2 linked regions of the Stegostoma tigrinum genome follow. The protein of the gene in region 1 interacts with the protein of each later gene in a pairwise test. Links are inferred from orthologs where the notes say so. Each region holds a gene or a part of one and is shown on either strand. Other genes may lie near its edges.

Region 1 (10,807 bases):
AACCTCCAAATGACCCATCCTGGGATTGTATTCATTACAGTTTAGAAGGTTGAGGGTAGATCTATTGGAAACATACAAGATAATGTATGGCTTAGAAAGGGTGGACGCTGGGAGGTTGTTTCCATTAGGTGGGGAGACTAGGACCCATGGGCACAGCCTTAGAATTAGAGGGGGTAAATTTAGAATGGAAATGAGGAGACATTTCTTCAGCCAGAGAGTGGTGGGCCTGTGGAATGCAGTGGAGGCCGGGATGTTAAATGTCTTCAAGGCAGAGATTGATAAATTCTTGATCTTGCAAGGAATTAAGGGCTACGGGAAGAATGCGTGTAAATGGAGCTGAAATGCCCATCAGCCGTGATTAAACAGTGGAGTGGACTTGATGGGCCGAATGGCCTTACTTCCACTCCTATGTCTTATGGGCTTATTTATCCAACTCTTCCAGCATGATCTGCTCCATACGTAGTAGAGCCTGCCAAAAATGCATTGGATTGCAGAACCCACCAAACAGGAGTGGGAGCAAGTTGTCCTCAATCCTCACTACAGTCACTTCCTGGTGTAACAAAGCGTAGAGCTGGACCCTTTGGGTGTAGGCCCAAAACGTCAGCCTTCCTATTCCTCTGATGCTGGTTGGCCTGCTGTGTTCATCCAGCTCTAAACTTTGTTATCTCAGATTCTCCAGCATCTGCAGTTCCTACTATCTCTGAAACACCTGCTGGTATGTTGGGTTGAGATCCTGCTTTAACCTCTGACCATCCGTGTGCATACATACACAGATATGGGAATATCTATCCATCTGGAATGGCACTGTGGAGGTGGAATAGGCTGGAGTAAACACAGAACGCTGGAGAAACTCAGCAGCCTCTGTGGAGAGAAACACAGAGTTGATGGAGGAAGAGTAAGTCATACCGGATTTGAAATGTTAACTCTGTTTCTCTACCTACAGATGCTGCCAGACGTGCTGAGTTTCTCCAATTTCTGAGTTTGTTTCAGAAATCCAGCAGAGGCAGTTTTTTGCCCTTTAATTTAGGCTTTTGCTTTTACTTGAGTGCAATATGCTGGATATGGTTTCGGAGGGATACAACCTGAGACACCACCATCTTTGTAGCATTATCATTAAGGTTCCGAATACCAAAGGAGGAAGCTTGGGTGTGACAGTAAATGTCATCAACACAAATGGATTGTGGGTGTTGGTAGGTCATTTATATCCACATTGAACAGTGTTGAGGCTAGGGCTGAGTCTTGTGGTTGTCTAATTGACAGTTTTCTTCAGTGCCCAAGGTGATCTCTAATGCAGCTATTGTGAAGGAATGTCTTCAAACTGTTCCAAACTAGTTTGGAAGCACTCTGAGCAGTTTTAGGAGCAGCACACTATCATACTTGGGAGTGACTCTCAATAGGACTTTGTCTTTCCTGGAACATTCAAGAAAACAGCAAAGATCAGAACCAGAAATCAACCTGTTCGTCACACTGGCCCTGATCTTCATTGGCTCCTGCTGCCACAACATTCTGGAACTCAGCACTTGTCCTACCATGCTCTGCAACAGTGTATTCTGTGCCTGTCTGGCAATACACACAAATTTTGTAGACGGTCAACTGAATGCAACAATGTTCATCATAAATGGAACCCTCTCCAAAACTCCGCTCCTCTGTCCTCTCAAACATCATTCTCCCACAGACTGATCATTGCATTTGGACAATGATTATTGTGCCCTAAAGGTTTAAGATGTGAATGGAGAATGACAATGAACAATCTACAGCAAGAATAATCAACTGGCAGAGAGTAGCCTCCAATGGGGTATGAGCAAAGCTGGGCCAAAAGACAGGAACCAAATGTTGTGGGGGAGAAACAGTCACAGAACAATGGGGCTCCTGTCAAACAGATGATGCAGGTGCAGTCAAGGTATATTCCCTCAAAAAGGAAAGGCAGAGCAAATTCAGATGTCTCTAGATGATGAAGGAGATATTAAAGAAGGAAAATAAATGTTCTTAGGACAGGCGTCAGGTTCTAAATCATAGAATCCTTACAATGCGAAAGCATACATCCCTTTCGGTCCACACTGATCCTCTGAAGAGCATCCCACTTAGACCCATTCCCCCCAACCTTATTCCCCGTAATCCTGCAATTCCCCCAAGTAATTCACCTAACCTACGTATCCCTGCGCAATTTAGTATGGTCAATCCACTTAACCTGCACATCCGGACTCTGGGAGAAGACTGGAACACCCAGAGGAAACCCACACAGACACGGGTAGAATGTGCAAACTCCACACAGACAGTCGCCTGAGGGTGGAATCGAACTTGGGTCTCTGCCGTTGTGAGGCTGCAGTGCTAATCACTGAGCCAGTATGCCACCCTAAATTCGAGCTGAAGGTCCAGAAGGGAGGTGAGGGAGTAATAAGTAATAATAAAAGAAACAAAGAAGGGTTACAAAAAGATCTTTCACATAAAGGGAAATCCTAACGTCTACTTTTGGAAGATCAATAGTAAAAGGAGGAGTGAGGTTGATTAGGGGTCATAAAGGATTTACACAAAGAGGCAAGTGATATGACAGAGGTCTTAAATTAATACTTTTGTCTTTGCCAAGGAGGCAGAAGCTGCCCAGTCCATGGTGACAGAGGAGAAAACTCAGCCACTAAAAGGATTCAAATTTGATAAGGAGGCTATCTTGGACAGTTCCTGAAGTAGACAAGACACTTGGAGCAGATTGGAATCAGCTAAGGATATTCAAGGAGGTACTGGCCATGTTCTTTTCATCCTGTCTGGTCCTGAGAGTGGTGCCAGAGGGCGGAAGAATCGCAAATGTAATGGGCTTTGCTCAAAAAGGTTTGTAAAGGTAAGGCCTGTGATTACAGTCCCATCAGTTTAAGGGAAATTTCTGGCTACTTGAGCTAGAATTAATGGTCATATGGAAAAATATGGGATAACTTGGAAATCCAGCATGGCTTTGTTGAAGTAAAGTCATTTTTAACTACCTTACTGCAGATTTTTTGATAACAGGGTTGGGTGGGGATGGGCGGGTTGTTGAGGATAATGCCGTTGATGTGACGTACATCGACTTTCAGAAGGTATTTGGCACAATGCCACGACAGACTTGAGAAAAATTACAACTCATTGAATAAAAGGCTCTGGAGCAATGTGGATACAAATTGGATGAGGTATAGGAAACAGAATGGAATGATTAATTGGAAGTTTTGTAGCGAGCTCCCTCGGATTTGGTATTCGAATGCATGTTTTTCCTGCATAGGTATACAACTGACATGTAACTTGGTAGGCATTTTTAAGTTTGCAGATGATACAAAAACTGGGAGCATTGAAAACTGGAGGATAGTGCAGAACTTCAAAAAGATATACTCAAGTTGATTTGATTTGACATGTTATTGTCACATGTACCTAGGTACAGTGAAATGTTTTGTTTTGCATGCACAATAGGCATATCATACCATTCAAAATACATTAGGGTAATAGAACAAAGTGAAGAATAGTGATACAGAGGCAGAGAGGTCCATTCAGAAGAACAGCGGAGAAAAAGCTGTTCTTGAATCTGTTCATACCCTTATACAAACCTTTATATCTTCTGCCCTGCAGAAGAGGGCAGAAACGAGTATAACCAGGGTGGGAGGGGTCTTTAACGATGTTGGTTGCTTTCCTGAGGCAGTCGATGAAGTCAGGCAGTGGTGAGTACAGATGAAGTCAATACATGGAAGGCTGGTTTGTGTGATGCACCAGGCTGTGTCCACGACACTCTATACTTTCTTGCGGTCTTGGTTTGGCAACAGCTCTTCCCATGCTGTAATGCGTCCAGCTAGAATGCTTTCTATGGTGTATCTGTAAAAACTGTAAGAGTCCTTAACCTCCTGAGGAAGTAGAGGCATTTTTGTGCATTATTGACAAGTTGGTGGAGTCGGGAGATAGGTGGCAGATGAAATTCGATTTGGAGAATTGAGAGATCACATTTGCAGGAAGGACAGAGAGATTCAGTATAACAGACAGGTGTGACCCTAAATGGGGTATAGGAACACCTGGGTGTATATGTGCATAAGTCATTAAAGGTGGCAGAACAGGGAGACAGAGCTATTAATAAAGGACACAGTATTCTAAGCTTCATTAACAGGCGTATAGAGGACAAGGATCTATTTAGGATACTGAATAGACCTCAGCTGGAGTAACTATGTACAGTTTGGGTGTCCCATTTAAGGAGGGATGTGAATGGAGTGGAGAAAGCACAGAAAAGATTTATAAGAATGGTTCCAGGAATGATACACTTCAGTTTTGAGGACAGATTTGAGACATTGTGACTGTTTTTCTTGGAGAGGAGAAGGTTCAGAGAAAATCTGTTTTAAAAAGAAGCTTTCACAATCATGGGATCATTGAATCATAGAATCCCTTTGCTACATGACCCAAGATCTTTAGACAGAGTAGATAAAGATCAAATGTCCCCAATTCTCAGATGATTGAGACCTAAAGGGAACAAATTTTAAAAGAAGGAGAATGTGAGTGTGAATAAAACTTGTTCATAAAAGTGAGTGGCCTGGGTTTTGAACACTGCCTGGGATGTGTCAGGGAGGCAGGTTCAACTGAGGGATTTGAAAGGGCGTAAGAGATTATGGGTGTACATGGAATAGTGTAGGTTAGATGGGCTTGAAAACGGTATGACAAGTCGGCACAACATCGAGGGCCGAAGGGCCTGTACTGTGCTGTAACGTTCTATGTTCTATTACTTGGATTGAATTGAATTAGCTTTATTGTCACATGTACTCAAAACAACTACAGAGAAAAGTTACATGTCACCACTTGCGGTGGCATCTTACGTACAAAGGTACCTAGGTACAATCACTGGTTACAGAATAGAGAAATGAAGAAAAAATAAAGTTACATTACAGCTATACACAGTATGACTCTAGGTCAGATAAACAAGAAGCAAGGTTAAAAAGACAAACATATCAGTCTCTCTCCAAAGTCTCTCCTTAGCAGATCAAAGCAGGGGGCCTCCAGACAGTCTGACTACTGACAGCTGCCACGTGCCACTCTGGGCCACCACTGCCACACTCAGAACTGGGTTGCTGGTTGCTGGCAGCCCTGCTCCAGCCCCTGGTGTCTCTGCTTACCCTGCTTTAGAGGCTGGGCCCAGGTATCGAAGTCTGAGAGAGGGGAGGGGATGGAAAAAAAAGGAAGAGAACAGTCGGAGCAGAGAAGCTCTGACCCGAGTGTCCTACACTGCCACTATCATAGTGGGTAACAGAAACAATACGCAGGGCTATGGGTGAAAAGGGCAGGAGTGCGGAACAAAGTGAAAACCCCTTACGTATTTGGTGGAGGGGCACAAAATAATGCTGGGGGTGAGGGTGAAGAGAGAGACAAAGAACAATCCTTGATCGTGAGGTACGATCTAAGACTGGAGGATGATTCATGCCTTTTGGACAAGAGTGTTGTGGCCAGTTGTCAAGTGTCTGACTTGACATGTGGCTCTGCTGAGGATGGCTTTATCTCCAAATTCCCCCCCCCCCCCCCCCCCCCCCTCAGTGCATTCCCGAGCTCTGTGCTATCTATAAACCCGGGAGGAATGTGGAGGGGGGAACAGCTGGGGGCCAGCCATCAATGCTGACACACACACACAGGGAAAGGCAGAGCCATGGCGATCCCCGTCGACCCAACAGAGGAGCCTCGCATTTACCAGCAGACTCTGCTGCAGGAGGGGCTGAGGGACCTGCTGGAGAACGGTAAGCTGGTGGACTGCGTGCTCAAGGTGAAGGGCCGGGAGCTGCCGTGTCACGGCCTGGTGCTGGCGGCCTGCAGCCCGTACTTCCGAGCGAGGCTGCTGGCGGAGGCGGGCCCGGGACAAGGCCCGAGGAGGGAGCTGGTGCTGGACGACGAGGAGCTGGAGCCTGATCTGGTCGAGGCCTTGCTGCGTTACCTGTACAGCTCCGAGCTGCCCCTCAGCGACGCCAACGTCAAGGAGGTGCTGGCGGCCGCCAGCCTGCTGCAGATCCCGTCCGTCTTCACCGTCTGCGTGTCGTTCCTGCACCAGCGCCTGGGCCTCAGTAACTGCCTGGCCGTCTTCAGGCTCGGCCTGATGCTCGACTGCCCGCGCCTGGCCGTCGCCGCCCGGGACCTGGCGTGCGAGCACTTCCCGCTGGTGAGCAAGGACCCCGACTTCCTGGGCCTCAGCGCCGCCGAGCTGACCGCCATCATCTCCAGCGACTCGCTCAACGTCGAGCGGGAGGAGCTGGTCTTCGAGGCGGTGATGGCCTGGGCCTCCAGCCAGGCCGCTCCCGCCCAGGCCCTGGCCCAGCTCCTGGGCTGCGTCCGCTTCCTCCTCATGCCCCGCGACTACCTGGAGCGGCAGGTCCGGGCCTACCCCCTGCTCAGCTCCAGCCCCGAGCTCCTCCAGAAGATCCAGCAGGTCAGGGATGCCCACAGGAGGGAGGAGGGCGGGGAGCAAGAGAAGGAGGCCAAGAAGACCCCCGCCAAGGAGGAGCAGGCCCCCTCCCCTGGCAACCAAGAGGCCAAGGAGGAGCAGCCCCCCAGCCTCCTGAATAAAACCCCCAGGTTCGGCATGTTCGTCAAGGACCTCATCTTCATGATCAACGACGAGGCCACGGTGGCCTACGATCCCACCACCAATGAGTGCTACTTCGCCTCGGTCTCCTCGAAGGTCCCCAAGAACCACTCCAGCGTGGTGACCAAGCAGAACCAGGTCTTTGTAGCAGGAGGTCTCTACTACGACGACAGCAGTAAGGAGAACCCATTGCACTCCTACTTCCTGCAGGTGAGTTACAGCCCTCCAGCCCCTCTGTCCAATGTAGAGGCATGGGGCAGGGTGGGGAGGCAGTCTTTGGAACATCTATATTTACAATGGAAATTCCAAACTCACCACCACCTCCATCTAGGCAGCAGAAACATGGAACACCACTGGCTGTAAGTTCCCCCCCAATGCCTCACCATCCTGACTTTACTGTCACTGGGTCAAAATCCTGCAGCTTCCTACATTATAGTACTGTGGATGTACCCAAAGCACACGGACTGCATCAACTCAAGCCTGCACACCAAAGTAGATGATGTAAGATATTGGCCCACTTCTGCCCCATTCATTGTGATCATGGCTGATCTGATCATCCTTAACTCCGTTTTCCTGTCTTTTCCCCATAACCCTGGATTCCCTCACTGATTAGAAATCTCTCAGCCTTGGATGCACTTAGTGACCTAGCCTCCACATCCCACTGCCATAAAGAATGCCACTGATTCACTACCCTCAGATAAGCAATTCCTCCTCATCTCTGTCTTAAATCTGTAACCCTGTATTCTGACATTATACCCTCTGGTCTTAGACTCTTCCCAGATGGGGAAAATATGTAATTAGGAAAGGATGGTTGGCAACTGAAATGCTATATAGCTATCTATACAAAGAAAAACAAACAAATCTTATCAAGAGGAGTAAGGGTTACGGGCAGAAAGCAGGAGAATGGGGTTGAGGAACTTATAAGCCATGATTGAATGGCAGAGTAGACTCAATGGGCCAAATGGCCTAATTTCTGCACCTATGTCTCATAGTCTTAAATGAATTGTAAATTGGAGAACAAGAGTTGTGGTATTTCCCTGAGACATAAGGAGGCAGGATGAGAGAACTGAAAGACAAAGAAAATATGAGGAACCATTGGGACAGGAGAGAGGTTGAAGGGTTTGGGGGAGGACGTGTATGCTTTTAGCTCAGGGGCACAATGTAACTGGGAAGCCACTGTGTTAATCTGTGAATGAGGAGTTTCTGGGGGCTATTGATGAATATACTGTAACAATATTGTTGCTGCACTTTTTACCATTCTCTGGGATAGCAGTTGCCACATTCTCTATACTCTATGTGTACAGATGGTTCTCCTGAAGTGCTTGCCTACTCTGGGCTGAAAGGTTTGATCAGAAAAGACTGATTGCATTTCAGTGCTAACTTAGTGGATGGAAGTTATTTTAAATGCTGGTGCCTTGTGCTGTGTGACTTCATGTTTGCTGTTTCTTTCTAATATTTTGTCTTGACCTGCGAACAGTTTGATCCCCTGGACTCTGACTGGCTAGGGATGCCAGCCTTACCCTCTCCACGCTGCCTCTTTGGTCTGGGCGAAGCTGATAATGCCGTCTATGTCATTGGTGGGAAGGAAGTGAATGAAGAGGAGAAGACACTGGACACTGTGATGTGCTATGATCGACAGTAGGTTTCCATGAACAGGGCATAAATCAAGGTAATGGACTCTCGGTCAGATGGAACATCCTGAGCATTTGGCTACAGCACAGTCATTGTGACTGAAATAACTGGCACAGTTCCCTTGAGGGCTCAACTTGTGAAATTGATACTGTGAGTCAGGCCAAGCTTTCTGTCACGCTTGTGACAGCAGTAGTTCAGTGGGGTCAGGAGAAGAGGGAGTTGGTTGGGGTGGAAGGAAATGATGTGAGTGCAATGAAACATGGGATTACAACAGTGAGGTGATGGTTTTTGCCCAGTGCAGACTCTACGTGTCTTTTTCTTTGCTGTAGACCTCTCTGACTCTATGGCAGTTTGCAGTCTCTTCATTAGTTGCTGGGATGAACAGAGTCTGGTTGGTCCAGTGTGGGAGAGAAAAGCCACTTAATGATACGGAGCAGGGTCCTCTGTCTCTGCCCCTCATACGTACACTTACACCATTACCTCACACCAGTCTCCAGTCTTTCCTCCATATCTCCACACACCATTCCTTTCCATAAAACCATCCATTCCCCCTCGTTCTCACACACCACCCTACCAACCTCCGGATACAACGCATTATCCTCCGACACTTCCGCCATTTACAATCCGACCCCACCACCCAAGACATTTTTCCATCCCCTCCCCTGTCTGCTTTCCGGAGAGACCACTCTCTCCGCGACTCCCTTGTTCGCTCCACACTGCCCTCCAACCCCACCACACCCGGCACCTTCCCCTGCAACCGCAAGAAATGCTACACTTGTCCCCACACCTCCTCCCTCACCCCCATCCCAGGCCCCAAGATGACATTCCACATCAAGCAGAGGTTCACCTGCACATCTGCCAATGTGGTATACTGCATCCACTGTACCTGGTGCGGCTTCCTCTACATTGGGGAAACCAAGCGGAGGCTTGGGGACCGCTTTGCAGAACACCTCCGCTCAGTTCGCAAAAAACAACTGCACCTCCCAGTCGCAAACCATTTCCACTCCCCCTCCCATTCTCTTGATGACATGTCCATCATGGGCCTCCTGCACTGCCACAATGATGCCACCTGAAGGTTGCAGGAACAGCAACTCATATTCCGCCTGGGAACCCTGCAGCCATATGGTATCAATGTGGACTTCACCAGTTTCAAAATCTCCCCTTCCCCTACTGCATCCCTCAACCAGCCCAGTTCGTCCCCTCCCCCCACTGCACCACACAACCAGCCCAGCTCTTCCCCCCCACCCACTGTATCCCAAAACCAGTCCAACCTGTCTCTGCCTCCCTAACCGGTTCTTCCTCTCACCCATCCCTTCCTCCCACCCCAAGCCGCACCCCCCGTTACCTACTAACCTCATCCCACCTCCTTGACCTGTCCGTCTTCCCTGGACTGACCTATCCCCTCCCTACCTCCCCACCTACACTCTCTCCACCTATCTTCTTTACTCTCCATCTTCGGTCCGCCTCCCCCTCTCTCCCTATTTATTCCAGTTCCCTCCCCGCATCCCCCTCTCTGATGAAGGGTCTAGGCCCGAAACGTCAGCTTTTGTGCTCCTGAGATGCTGCTTGGCCTGCTGTGTTCATCCAGCCTCACATTTTATTATCTTGGAATCTCCAGCATCTGCAGTTCCCATTATCTCTCATTCCCCTCTTGAATGCCTCCATTGAACCTGCTTCCACACATTTTCAGGCAGTGCATTCTACACCCGAACTGCTCACTAAGTGAAAACATTTCTCCTGTTCCTTTGTCACTTTAAACCTATGCCCTCTCGTTCTTTTCCTTTTACGAGCAGGAGCAGCTGCTCCCTATCGCCTCTGTCCAACCTGCCCATGATTTTGAAAGCCTTGATCAAACCTTCTTTCAATGTTCCTCATGCAGAGAACAGTCCCAAACTCTTTAATCTACCCTCATCATTAACTAGCTGAAAGAAGCTGGAGTAACGAATAATAATTTATTGCATGTTAGTGACTAGTCACAGGTCACACTGATACGATAGACATTGTAAGAGAGACCATGAGGAGGACATAGATATTAAGGTCTTACTTGTTTAAGATCTTAAACTGTTCTACTCAAGTCCGTATGACATCATAATAATGGGTGGTGCTTATGGCACTGCAGTATTAACCCTTTCAGACCCTAAACGACAAAGCCCCATTACAGGGATTTGAGTTAGCAAGGCAAATACTCCAGTGCAGTCCTGAGGAAGTGCTGCTTGTTTGGGGTGTAACACAAGGGGCTTCTCAGATGGAGGATAAAGGCTCCATTCCATTACTTGAGTCTGACCTCATCAATATGTATCCCTCACCAATACCTGGCCATGTAGAATGACAGAATCCCTACAGTGTGGAAAAAGACCACTCATGTCCACACTGTTCCTCTGAAAAGTATCCCACCCACACTTCACACGGCTAATCCACCTAATTTGCACACCCCTGGACACTACGAGCAGTTTAGCACAGCCAATCCACTTAACCCACACATCTTTGGATTGAGGGGGGAAACCGGAGCACCCAGCAGAAACCCACACAGGCAGTCACCAGAGGTTAGAATCAAACCCGGGTCCCTGGTGCTGAGAGGCAGCAGTGTGAGCCACTGTGCTGCCCCAAAGTATGGTCAGA
Region 2 (10,947 bases), about 95 Mb from region 1:
ACCAGGCCAGCTCGTCCTCGCCTCCCTAACCTGTTCTTCCTCTCACCTACCACCTCCTCCCACCTCACGCCGCACCTCCATTTCCCACCTACTGACCTCATCCCGCCTCCGTGACCAGTCCGTCCTCCCTGGACTGACCTATCCCCTCCCCACCTATACTCTCCTCTCACCCTATCTCCTCCTCTATCCATCTTTGGTCCGCCTCCCCCTCTCTCCCTATTTATTTCAGAACCCTCTCCCCATCCTCCTCTCTGATGAAGGGTCTAGGCCCGAAACATCAGCTTTTGTGCTCCTGAGATGCTGCTTGGCCTACTGTGTTCATCCAGCTCCACACTTTGTTATCTTGGATTCTCCAGCATCTGCAGTTCCCATTATCTCTGATCACAATATATATTCTACATAACCTTCTTTCCCAATTACCACTTTGCAATATAGGTATTTAAATTTTTATGCTAATTGTTGTGTATGTAAATAACATAACTAAAAACTTTAACTCTTGAGCTGGTGGAATAAATTATATCCAAATTCCCAGATTATATGATAAACCTGTTATGTTACGGTTGAGAGTGTCTGTTTTGCTTAACACTTCATTATTTTTTCCTGGTTTTTAATCTGAAACCTAAGTGGAGCTCCACGGTGTTCTAATCTTCAGTTGGTTCAGCAAATTGGCTTTGGAGCTGATTTACAGCCAAGAATCGATATTTAAAGATGCAAATGTCAGATTTTAAATAAAGGGTGTGTTTTGGGAATTGGAAGAAAGAACAAGCCTGCTTATACATATTGCCTCATTATGTCACCAGGCCATTTGCAAAGTTTTTAACATCAAATCAATTACTTCTTACAAGCTATTGTGTAGGCAAGCATGCACAGGAGAAATTCCAAAATACAAACTGAATGAATAAGCAGTCAAACTACATATCTGAAAATCACTCAACTGGATTGGGTTTTTCTAAAGCCAATATCATGGCCCTTTGAACCTCAAAATCCAAAACATAGAAAATTGTTGAAACTTCACTCACATTGCTCCATCCTGTGGTTGGGAGGCGGGGATGGGGAAGTGGAAAATATGGTGGAATGGTAAATGCTCATCATCTTTGACCAATTCAGGCTGTTCTGTTGCCACTGCAGTGTCTCTTCCTGTCACCGTTGGTGTTTTACATGGCAGCCTCTAAGACAGTTTTGTGGTGTGGTTCCTCCTGTGGACCCACTCTCCAACCTTGCAGCAACCACCACCACCCTAGGAATGCTCCCTCTGTCTCCATGATCTACACTCTCCCCAAGGCCTATCATCACACCCGCTCCCCACTTGCAAGCTTTGCCTAATTATCTTCAATGATCCCTGACCCCACTTATCTTTACTTGTCACTGGCCTGGGAACTACTGCAGTCCCAGGAGTACAACTGCTCCCATTGGTCCTGCGGAGACCTAAGACAAGCCAGCTCTCTGATTGGTTAGCAGCTGCTGCATGTGCAACATTCTTAGTCAGGAGAACTGAAGAGACAACCTCTGGTAACTCCTTGATAATAAAGTGTGAAGCTGGACGAACACAGTAGGCCAAGCAGCATCTCAAAAGCACATGAGATGATGCTTGGCCTACTGTGTTCATCCAGCTTCACACTTTATTATACTCGGATTCTCCAGCATCTGCAGTTCCCATTATCTCTGGTAACGCCTTGCCTGAATATAAAGTTCACAAGGCTCCCAGCTGGTAAATAGAGTCAACTGTTCCATGTGAAATCCAGTCCACCGTTTCTACATTCATGGAAGAGCAAAACAACAAATCACCAATGTAAGGTAGTTAGCAATGCAAATCAACGAGGGGATTTGGAAGAAACCTCTTTACCGTACTCCTTTCTATAACAAGGAGTGATTAAAATGAATGGCATGGATGCTAAAGAAGCCTGGTGAAAAAAAAAGTAGAGGTTATGCTGAAAGAGTTTGAGGAGGAAGTCAGAACAAGCCTTCAATGGAGGATTAATACAAACATGGACAGGCTGAGACAGGAGGCCTGTTTCTGTGCAGTACATTCTATACAATCTATGTAAAAACGCCACCTTCCCACACAATGTCATGTTCGTTCTTGACTGGCCCTCCCAAAGGCTTGCATTTAAAAAAAGCAGATTCTCATCTACAAAATACTCAGGACCGCAAGTGACTATAACTTGGTTTCCTTACATCAAATAAATAATTGGGATGTGGTGGGGGGAAGCAGGCAGCATTTTCAAATGGCAACCTACAACTAATGGACTGCCACAGTGATCAAAGCTGGGCCATTATGAATTACATTATATATTAAGAGGTGGGAAGGCAAGGGGGAAGGATGACACAGCAAGAGTCTACAGAGGATTAAGTAAGTGGGAAAAACTTTGGCAGATGGAATTTAATGTGGGAAAATATCAGGTCATGTATTTTGGCAGGAAGCATGGAAGAGCTGAATATTATTTTGATGAAGAAACACTGCAGAAAGCTACAGCACCAAAAGATTTGGGAATTCTTGTGCATAAATCACAGAAAAAACTAATACACAACTTCAGCAGCTATTTTTGCAGGCACCTGGAATGGTGGCCTTGGTTTCAATGGAAACAGAGTACAAAAGGAACCAGGTAGTCTTTCTCGAAACCTAGTTCTGAAGGAAATCTCGTATTTGACTGAAAATTTAACCAAGACTCTACATGCCAACCTCATATTGCTGAGCCTTCAACAATGTTAAGAATGATTCTACAAATCCTGCCTTGGCAAACTAAACCTGCTGGAATTTGAGCTCCTACAGAAAATAACCTTCACTATACCCTAACTTTCTGAATGGACAACTACTAAACTTAATAGCCAGGTGTCCTTTTCTTAAGTTATTCTTAATTTTTTTTTCCCTTGAAGCTTTTATGTGTTGTGATAATCATCTTCCGTGGTTTTGAATATAAAATTAAACTATATGCTTGCTTTACCCTAAAGAGAATGTGTGGTGAATCATTATAGAAATTGCACTTCACAAAATAAAGATTTGGGGAAGCTTTTCATAGCCTGTTATAAAATAGAGAAAAAAAAGTAACTACCGGGTTACTTTCCTTAGAGCATTGAGGCTGAAGCGTAACCTTATACTCAGATTCTCCAGCATCTGCAGTTCCCATTATCTCTGGTAACTCCTTGCCTGAATGTAAAAGTCACTTATGATTTCCAGGTTTATAAAGGGTCATGGATAGGGTAAGTAGGCAAGGTCTTTTCCACAGGGTGGGGGAGCCCAAAACTAGAGCGCATGCGTTTAAGGTGAGAGGGCAAAGATATGAAAGGGACCTAAGGGCTGCTTTTTCATTCTGAGGGTGGTATGTGTATGGAATGAGCTGCCAGAGGAAGTGGTGGAGGCTGGTATGATTACAACATTTAAACACCAGGATCCTGGGACAGGCCAAGCAGAGACAAGCACAGGAATCTTAGAGGCCTGGTTCTCCACTAAGGCGGCCATCAACAAACACATAGAACTAGACCTTCTAACTCTACTGCGAAGGAAAACCGGCAGTGAGGTAACCCAGCTCAATGGACTCCAGAGTTTAAAGAACAGGCGGGAAAACACAACAGTGCTGCATTGGATAACAAAGTGTGAAGCTGGATGAACACAGCAGGCCAAGCAGCATCTCATGTGCTCCTGAGATGCTGCTTGGCTTGCTGTGTTCATCCAGCTTCACACTTTGTTATCTTGGATTCTCCAGCATCTGCAGTTCCCATTATCAGTGCTGCATTGGAGACTGATAAATGTTACCCAGCAGGGTAATGAAACATCTGGGGAACAAAGAACCAGCTTGGGGAGCCAACCAACCACAACATCCACAACCTGAGATACAAATCTACTCAAAAACTTCAGAAACATTTAAAAGGCATCTGGATGAATACATAAATAGAAAGGGCTTAGAGGGATATGGATCAAGTACTGGCAAGTTGGACTAGATTTATGTGGGATATCTGGTTGGCATGGATGAGTCGGACTGACTGGTCTGTTTCCATGCTATATGATTCTATGATTCTGCTTTCTGCAGGTGGGCAGGGCAATAAAATAGTTGAATTTTTTTCTCTGTCCTGTCTGTAACAATTACCCCTAGACCTCTGACTCTTCTCCTTTCAGCGGGGCATCTTTCATTTACCTATGACATACATTCCAAACCTTTTTGTTCCTCTCCATCTCTGTTGCACTTTTAAAAACACACCTTTTCCATCAAGCATTGGGGTCATTCTCTGCCCGTCCAGAATAGGGTTTACTCTCACAGTCCGAACTTTGAAGCGCCCTAGCACGTGTTCCTCTTGTGAGGAAGGTACTACACAAACGCAGATTTTTATTTATACAGCTGTCATTTCTAGACATAAGCATTACGAAATTAACGATTAGGTTGAGGGAAAGTCCGTTTCAATGCACGAGTTTTGTGCCCCCCACTTCACCCTCTGATTTAAAGCGTCCACTATACAGACCCATTTCTCTCACCTGCCAGCAGATACAGTGGGGCGGTCGAACTGCGTGGGAGTTATCTGCATATTGGACTGGAAGGTCGGGCGCAGGATGTTGTGCCCTTCCGTTTGGCGATAGTAATAGAAAGGATCGCCAGCGGACAGTTGATCGACCTCCATGGCTTAAATCGGGGGGGGAATAGAGTGGGTGGGGGGAGGAGAATAAGTCTTCTATAAATTAAAAGGTGCAATGGAGCAGGGCCGAGGCAAATGAGGAAACGACGCGGCCTCTGGTTCCCTGTATCAAGGGGACAGGACACATCCAGGTTTGATAGTATTGGCCAATGCGGGGGTATGACGGCAAATCCATGACAATGAGTCTGATTCACAGCCTCAATAATCAGCAGCGGCGGCAGGAGGAGGAGCCGCATCTTCTGGCAGCGGCTGCTACCTGGGGAAGGTTTAGCATCAACCCTTCAGTGGTTCCCGCCCCAGCCTGCCTTCCCAAAGAGCTCAGTCCAGTCACAACTTCCGACAGCGAGGGAAGGCGTTCGGCCCGCCTTTTGTTTTCAGAGCAACGCTCCGCGCTGTTTACGGACTCTCGCTGTTTGGGAGCCATCTTGTGATATCAGACCTCTTAAAACAAAAACACATAATGCTTTCCGCTTGCAACTTAATTTTCTTAATGGACCTCATTTCCTGCCTTGTACATCTTTCCACGAGATGCCTCTTGACCGGTTAGAAGTTTAGGTCGATTATTGACCAAACGGATTGCGAAGGGATTTGAAAGGTTTCAAGAACCAGGACGAAGCATGTCAACTGGATCTTCACGTGGATGAGTGTGAGGTAAAGAGCTTTGGTGCAGAAATAGGAGCAGAGTAGTTCCAAATCGTCCCTACTCCTTATCATCCATTAAGGCCATGGTTAAGTTTTTAGGATTGATTCAGTTTTCCTACCAAATCTCCAAATCCTTTGATTCTCTTAGTATCCAGAGTCTATCAGTCACGGTGTTGACCATACTTATGACAGGCACAGCCCTTTGCGTTTAGAGAATTACAGATTCACAACACTCTCAGAGAAGAAATTTCTAATCTTCTGCTGGTCACACCTGTGTTCTGAATCTCTGATCCCTATTTCCTGACACTAAACAAGGGAAGCAGCCTGATAGCATTAACTGTCTCAAGCTGTCTAAATCCTTTTAGGGCCCATATCTCCCAATGATAGTGAATGCTAAAAGGTTTGCTGCTATTGAGTGTTGCAGATTTGCACTAGAACCCCAAACTTCTGTCTTGGGGGAAAGTTTCCATAGGAGAACTTGTAGACAGTTCTCCAGGACCTGAAACTTTTGCCTGTACTTTCTAGTTTCATGAAAGGATTTGTTAGCATTTGAAAGCTGGCTTGGAATGCAGCTGTTTAAATTAGGAGTATCAAAGGACACGAGACCCCTCCTACATTCATCCCTGCCCTGCACTGCTTACGTGTCTCGACACTCCTTCACTACTGGAGGGGATTAAGCAATGTCACGAGTAGCTTGAGCAGCATCAGGGCTACAGAAGGAGGATTGACAGTCTCAAGGTGGGGGAGCAATTGAAGCAATGAGAGGAGACCAATAACGGGTGACCAGTGATAGGAATTGAGTGAGCAGTTTTGAGGATGACAGAGTGGGGAATTAGAATTAAAATCTATGAAAAAACCCATTTAAAAACAGTAAAATTTCCTTAACAGAATGCATAGCTCAAGGGATCTGTCCTCAACTCCTGATATGCGAGTGAATGTCGACATGATGTTATTGGAATTGCGCATCGCCTCAGCCTCACAGATCGATGACTTAAGACAGCAGCTTCAAAAGCTAAGAACACACTTTCATCCTAGGAATGAGTGAAAAACATAGAATGCATATATTGTGAATTTGCAAAAACACCACTGCATACTGATACATTCCAGACTGTCTCCCAATGAAGGAACACCACGAAAAACCAGGGAGGGTTACAGACAGAAAATTGCTTTATAGGAAAAATTAGTGAAAGTCAAAATAAAGGTATAATAATACAATGATTAAAAGAAGCAACCAGTTGAGACATAAACCACTGTAGCCTATATTTCTAGTTATAATGCCATTTTGAACAGAGTAACTTGAAACAGGCTGGCTTGTCGCCCAATGTGATGTTCATGACCAAATATCAGCTGTGTTGGTTCTTTTACCACAAATTTAAGATGTAGAATCAGAAGCATGCCATTCCAATGACATCAAGGATGAACTGATTATCCTAATTTCTACTGTCCTGCTATTTCCCCATTACCCTTGTTACCCTTACTGATTAAAAATTTGCCTACCTCAGCCTTGAATATACTCAATGACACAGCCTCAACAGGGGTCTGTGGTAAAGAATTCCACAAATTCACTACTTCTGAGAGAAGAAATTCCTCCTTGTGTCTGTCTTAAAAAGGTGACTTGTTCTGAGATTATGTCCTCTGGTCTTGCACTCTTCCATAAGGGGAAACAACCTTTCCACATTTACCTGTCAAGGCACCTAAGAACCTTGTATGTTTCAAAGAGGTCACCTTTCATTCTTCTAAATTAGAATGACTACAGGCCCAACCTATTCAACGTCTTCTTATAGGACATTCCCTTTATACGTGGGATTGGCCTAGTGAGCCGTCTTTGGACTGCCTCCCCTTATACAGGGCCTAAACACGGGGAGGTGATGGCCTAGTGGTATTATCATCAGGCTATTAATCCAGAAACTCTGGTAATGCCCTGGGTACACATGTTTGAATCCTGCAGATGGTAGAATTTGAATTCAGTGAAAAAAAATCTAGAATTAAGAGCCTAATGATGACCACAAATCCATTGTTAATTGTTTGAAAAACCCATCTGGTTCACTAATGTCCTTCAGGGAAGAAGGACATTAGTGAACCAGATGGGTTTTACTGGTCCTTACCTGGTCTATGACTCCAGGTCCATTGCAATGTGGTTAACTCTTAACAATTGGGGTTGGGTATTAAATGCTGTCCCTGACAACAACACCCATATCTCAGGAATGAATAAATAAAACAAAAAATGTTCATAATAATTCATCTGTGTTCTGATCAGGGCCTTGTACAGTTTTAGCAAGACTTTCCAATTTTAGATTTCATTCCCTTTGAAGTAAAGGCAAATATTCCACTTACCTTCCCTGTTACCTGCTGAACTTGGATGCTCGGTGTTTGAGATTTATGCGAAGATTCCTAATTCCTTCTGTGCTGTAGCTTTCTGCAGTCTTTCTCCATTTAAATAATATTCAGCTTCTGTACTCTTCCTGCCAAAATGCATAACCTCACACTGTGCTGGATGCTGAGGAACTTGGAAAATGGAGGAAGTCTCCTGAGAAAGAACAGAACAATGTTGGGGAAAAGGAAGATGTCCTTGACCATGACAAAACTCAGCTGTGTCAGGTGCTACAAACCAACCAGAGGCTCATTGACATCTACTTCCAATGGATGTGAGCAGAATATTTGTGAAATGTAAAATATTAATTGGTTATGATGTAGAAGTCTGCTTGGTATTGTTTGGACAAATTTTAATCTTCATGTGGTCTGTCTATATTCACATTTGCTTCTGCAAATAAAAGTTTGACCTTGGATTTTTCTGATTTCTTCCAGTGTGTAATGTTCCCGTATTGGATGTTTACAAGCTGCAGGTATACAGTGGATATTGATGACAGGGTAGCACTGATTTACAGGGTGTTCAGATGGTATATAGCTATGGAAAGTTAAAGCGGTAATTGAAGCCCGAGGACTGATCCTTGTGGCACATGATGAGTTACATCTTTCCAACCTGAAAATGACCCATCACGTCAACTCTTTTTGTTCTCTATACTTATCAACCCTCAATCCACACTAATACATTACCTCCAATACTGTGAGCTCATACCTTTTATGTGGCGCCCTATTGCATAAGTTATAAAAATCCAAATACACTCCATCTGCTGATTCCCCTTTATCAACTCTGCTTCTTAAGTATCAAATAACAAGCAAATTTGTCAAACATAGTCTCTCTTTCTTAAATCTATGTTGACTGCCTGTCTAAATGTCCCCATTTCTTGTAGTGTGATGTGACTGTACCTCTAGATGGCATGCAGGAGTAGAGGATATCGTAATATTCTAGGTTATAATTCAGCACTGGGTTGCAGCAGCCAAGGAGCAGATCATGGTGGCAGTAGATTGAAAGTTGTTCAGGTGCCTGAATGTATATGCACTTAATTGCAGGCTGAAACTAAAGTTGATGTTATTGAGCAGGAAGCTCAAGAATGTACTCGTATAGCAAGAGAAACAGTGCATTGAAAATGAATGTACTGGTTGGGCTGAAGACATCATTCCAGCATCTATAGTAGAAGTGGAAGTCAGCAGTATAACTGGTATGACTTTAGTTATACAGCCATAGCAGCTTCTGTTATCTCAGAATGAGTTGAAGAAATCCTTAATTCATATTCCCTTATGCAAAACAAAAACTAATGTGAAGCGAATTATTTATTCCAGTATTAAGTCAGTCAGTTATGGTGGAATATCATGCTGCACCCTATTACTTGTTATTAGTAGTTGCAGGGATCAAGGTCTCCCTGACACTAAAAAAAGTGGCTTAACATATGGTTAAACTGGGCTGTACTGTTTACAGATCAGGATGAGTACCTCTGACATTGAAAAGGTGCTGAGTTCATAAAGTCGTCTTTAAGCAAGAAGGATCAGTTATAAAATTAGACTTCACAAAGGAAAGGTCAAGATAAAAAAAAACACGTACAATCAATAATTTGTAAGGCTAGGCTAATGCCTTATTCACAGTTAAAAATAGTAAGCAAACAGCTGATAGATTGGAACAATCTGGAACAATTGAAACAGGAGCAGTTAACTAACAAAGAACAATGAGTGGGCAATACCATTTTGGTTGTTCAAAAATCAGTTAGGTCATTTCAGATTTGTGAAATGGTCATTAAAATGACTGAGAATGATACCCATTGCTTACCAGTAAAGTCGTGTTTTAAGGTTTAGCAAATAGAAAGGCGTTCAGTAGGATAGAAATGTTTTATACATACTTGCAATTAAAGTTAACTGACAAGAGCAAGGAACTGCTTACCAATCATATACATCAAATATCGTACCACATTTGAAATGTTGCCTTATGGCATATGTTATGTTCTGACCCTGTTCTGGAACATCATGGATTGGGCGCTATGTGGGATGAAAGGAGTGGGCTACTTTTTAGATGAAACTCTAACTCTTAGGGAGACGAAGAAAGAGCACATTGTAAGGTTGAACAAAGTTCTAGATTGATGTCAGAACTGTGACATCAAGGCTAAAAAACACAGACGATACTTCATGGTGTCAATGGGCACTGATTTTGAAAAATAAATGGAAGAAGAAACCCAGACAAAAAGAGAAATGAGCCAAATAGGTTAGCTGAAATGTGTATTGGAAAGAAAGAAAAGTTATTTTCATTATTTCGTGTGAAATTATTTGTTTCATAAAACAAATACAAGTGTTAAGGAAAATAATTCTTTTATGTATAAATTATTCTGGTTATATTGAGTGCATATGCTTTGACTGTGATTACAGTAACCCAACCAATTACGTTGAAAGTGTTGTTGATGTCATAGTCATATTGTAATCTGGGAAATGCATATACCATTTTATATTTTAATGTAGGTATTTTCTAATCAAAAAAATACAACTGTAGATGCTGCAAATCTGAAACAAAAACAGAAATAGCTGGAGAAACTCAGTAGTTCTCCAGCATCTGTAGAAGTGCCCCTGGACCCGGAACATTGACACTTCTTTCTGTCCACAGATGCAGCTTGACTAGTGAGTTTCTCCAGCTATTTCTGTTTTTATTTTCTAATCAGCCTGTCATACATGTTATAATAGGCTCTGGAGCGCTTGAACTCGGGTTTTCTGACTCAGAGGTAAGGCCAGTACTGTAAGAGTTCCATTACAGCTTAATGTATAAGTTTTTTTTAAAGTAAGGAATGGGCATAATTCACCATAGAGTTGACTCTCTATTACCCTCTCTGCTTCGTGGGTGAGGTGTCAAATAAAATTTGTACAATGTGGCTACTTACCATGGACCTACATGGCTAATGTTTTCTCTATCCTGTGCACAACGGTGAGGTAATTCAATTATGTGGAAAAATTGAAGATACTGAGATTGGCCTGCTTAGTGTGAAGCAATTTAATTGGAGACTTGACAAAAGATATTCAAAATAATTAAGTTTTTCTAGAGCAAGTAGAGACAGCCTGTGACCTCTGGCAACAGGTTGATAACAGCATTCATAAATTTAACTGACAAAAGAAGTAGAAGACAAATTAGCAGATTTTTTTCAAAGGGTTGCTATCTAGAAAGCTTTATCAAAAGGCAGTTAGACATGTACACTAAAATGACTAATTTTCAGGATTCTGGGAAATTGCTGAGATGTGGATTTAAAGAAGACATCTCTTTGAAGCGACAGCACAACATGACAGGAGAAATGGCCTTCTGTGCTGGAAGAT

Evidence for each region. The genes of interacting proteins can lie anywhere in the genome.
Region 2: the proteins of klhl40b (region 1) and uncharacterized protein C7orf31 interact in a two-hybrid assay, tested with the Homo sapiens proteins (2 studies listed by BioGRID and IntAct). The two-hybrid records come from large-scale screens. The link is inferred for Stegostoma tigrinum from reciprocal best matches to the Homo sapiens genes KLHL40 and SPMIP4.

Annotation. Positions count from the first base shown.
Region 1 is NC_081355.1:150,692,098-150,702,904, forward strand, and holds the start of klhl40b (kelch-like protein 40b), read left to right. Parts: upstream 1-5,524; 5' UTR 5,525-5,629; coding exon 5,630-6,766; intron 6,767-8,033; coding exon 8,034-8,194; intron 8,195-10,807. UniProt on the Homo sapiens protein: Substrate-specific adapter of a BCR (BTB-CUL3-RBX1) E3 ubiquitin ligase complex that acts as a key regulator of skeletal muscle development.
Region 2 is NC_081355.1:55,323,281-55,334,227, forward strand, and holds the start of uncharacterized protein C7orf31, read right to left. Parts: upstream 4,988-10,947; 5' UTR 4,609-4,987; coding exon 4,466-4,608; intron 1-4,465. UniProt on the Homo sapiens protein: Microtubule inner protein (MIP) part of the dynein-decorated doublet microtubules (DMTs) in flagellum axoneme. May serve to reinforce and thus stabilize the microtubule structure in the sperm flagella.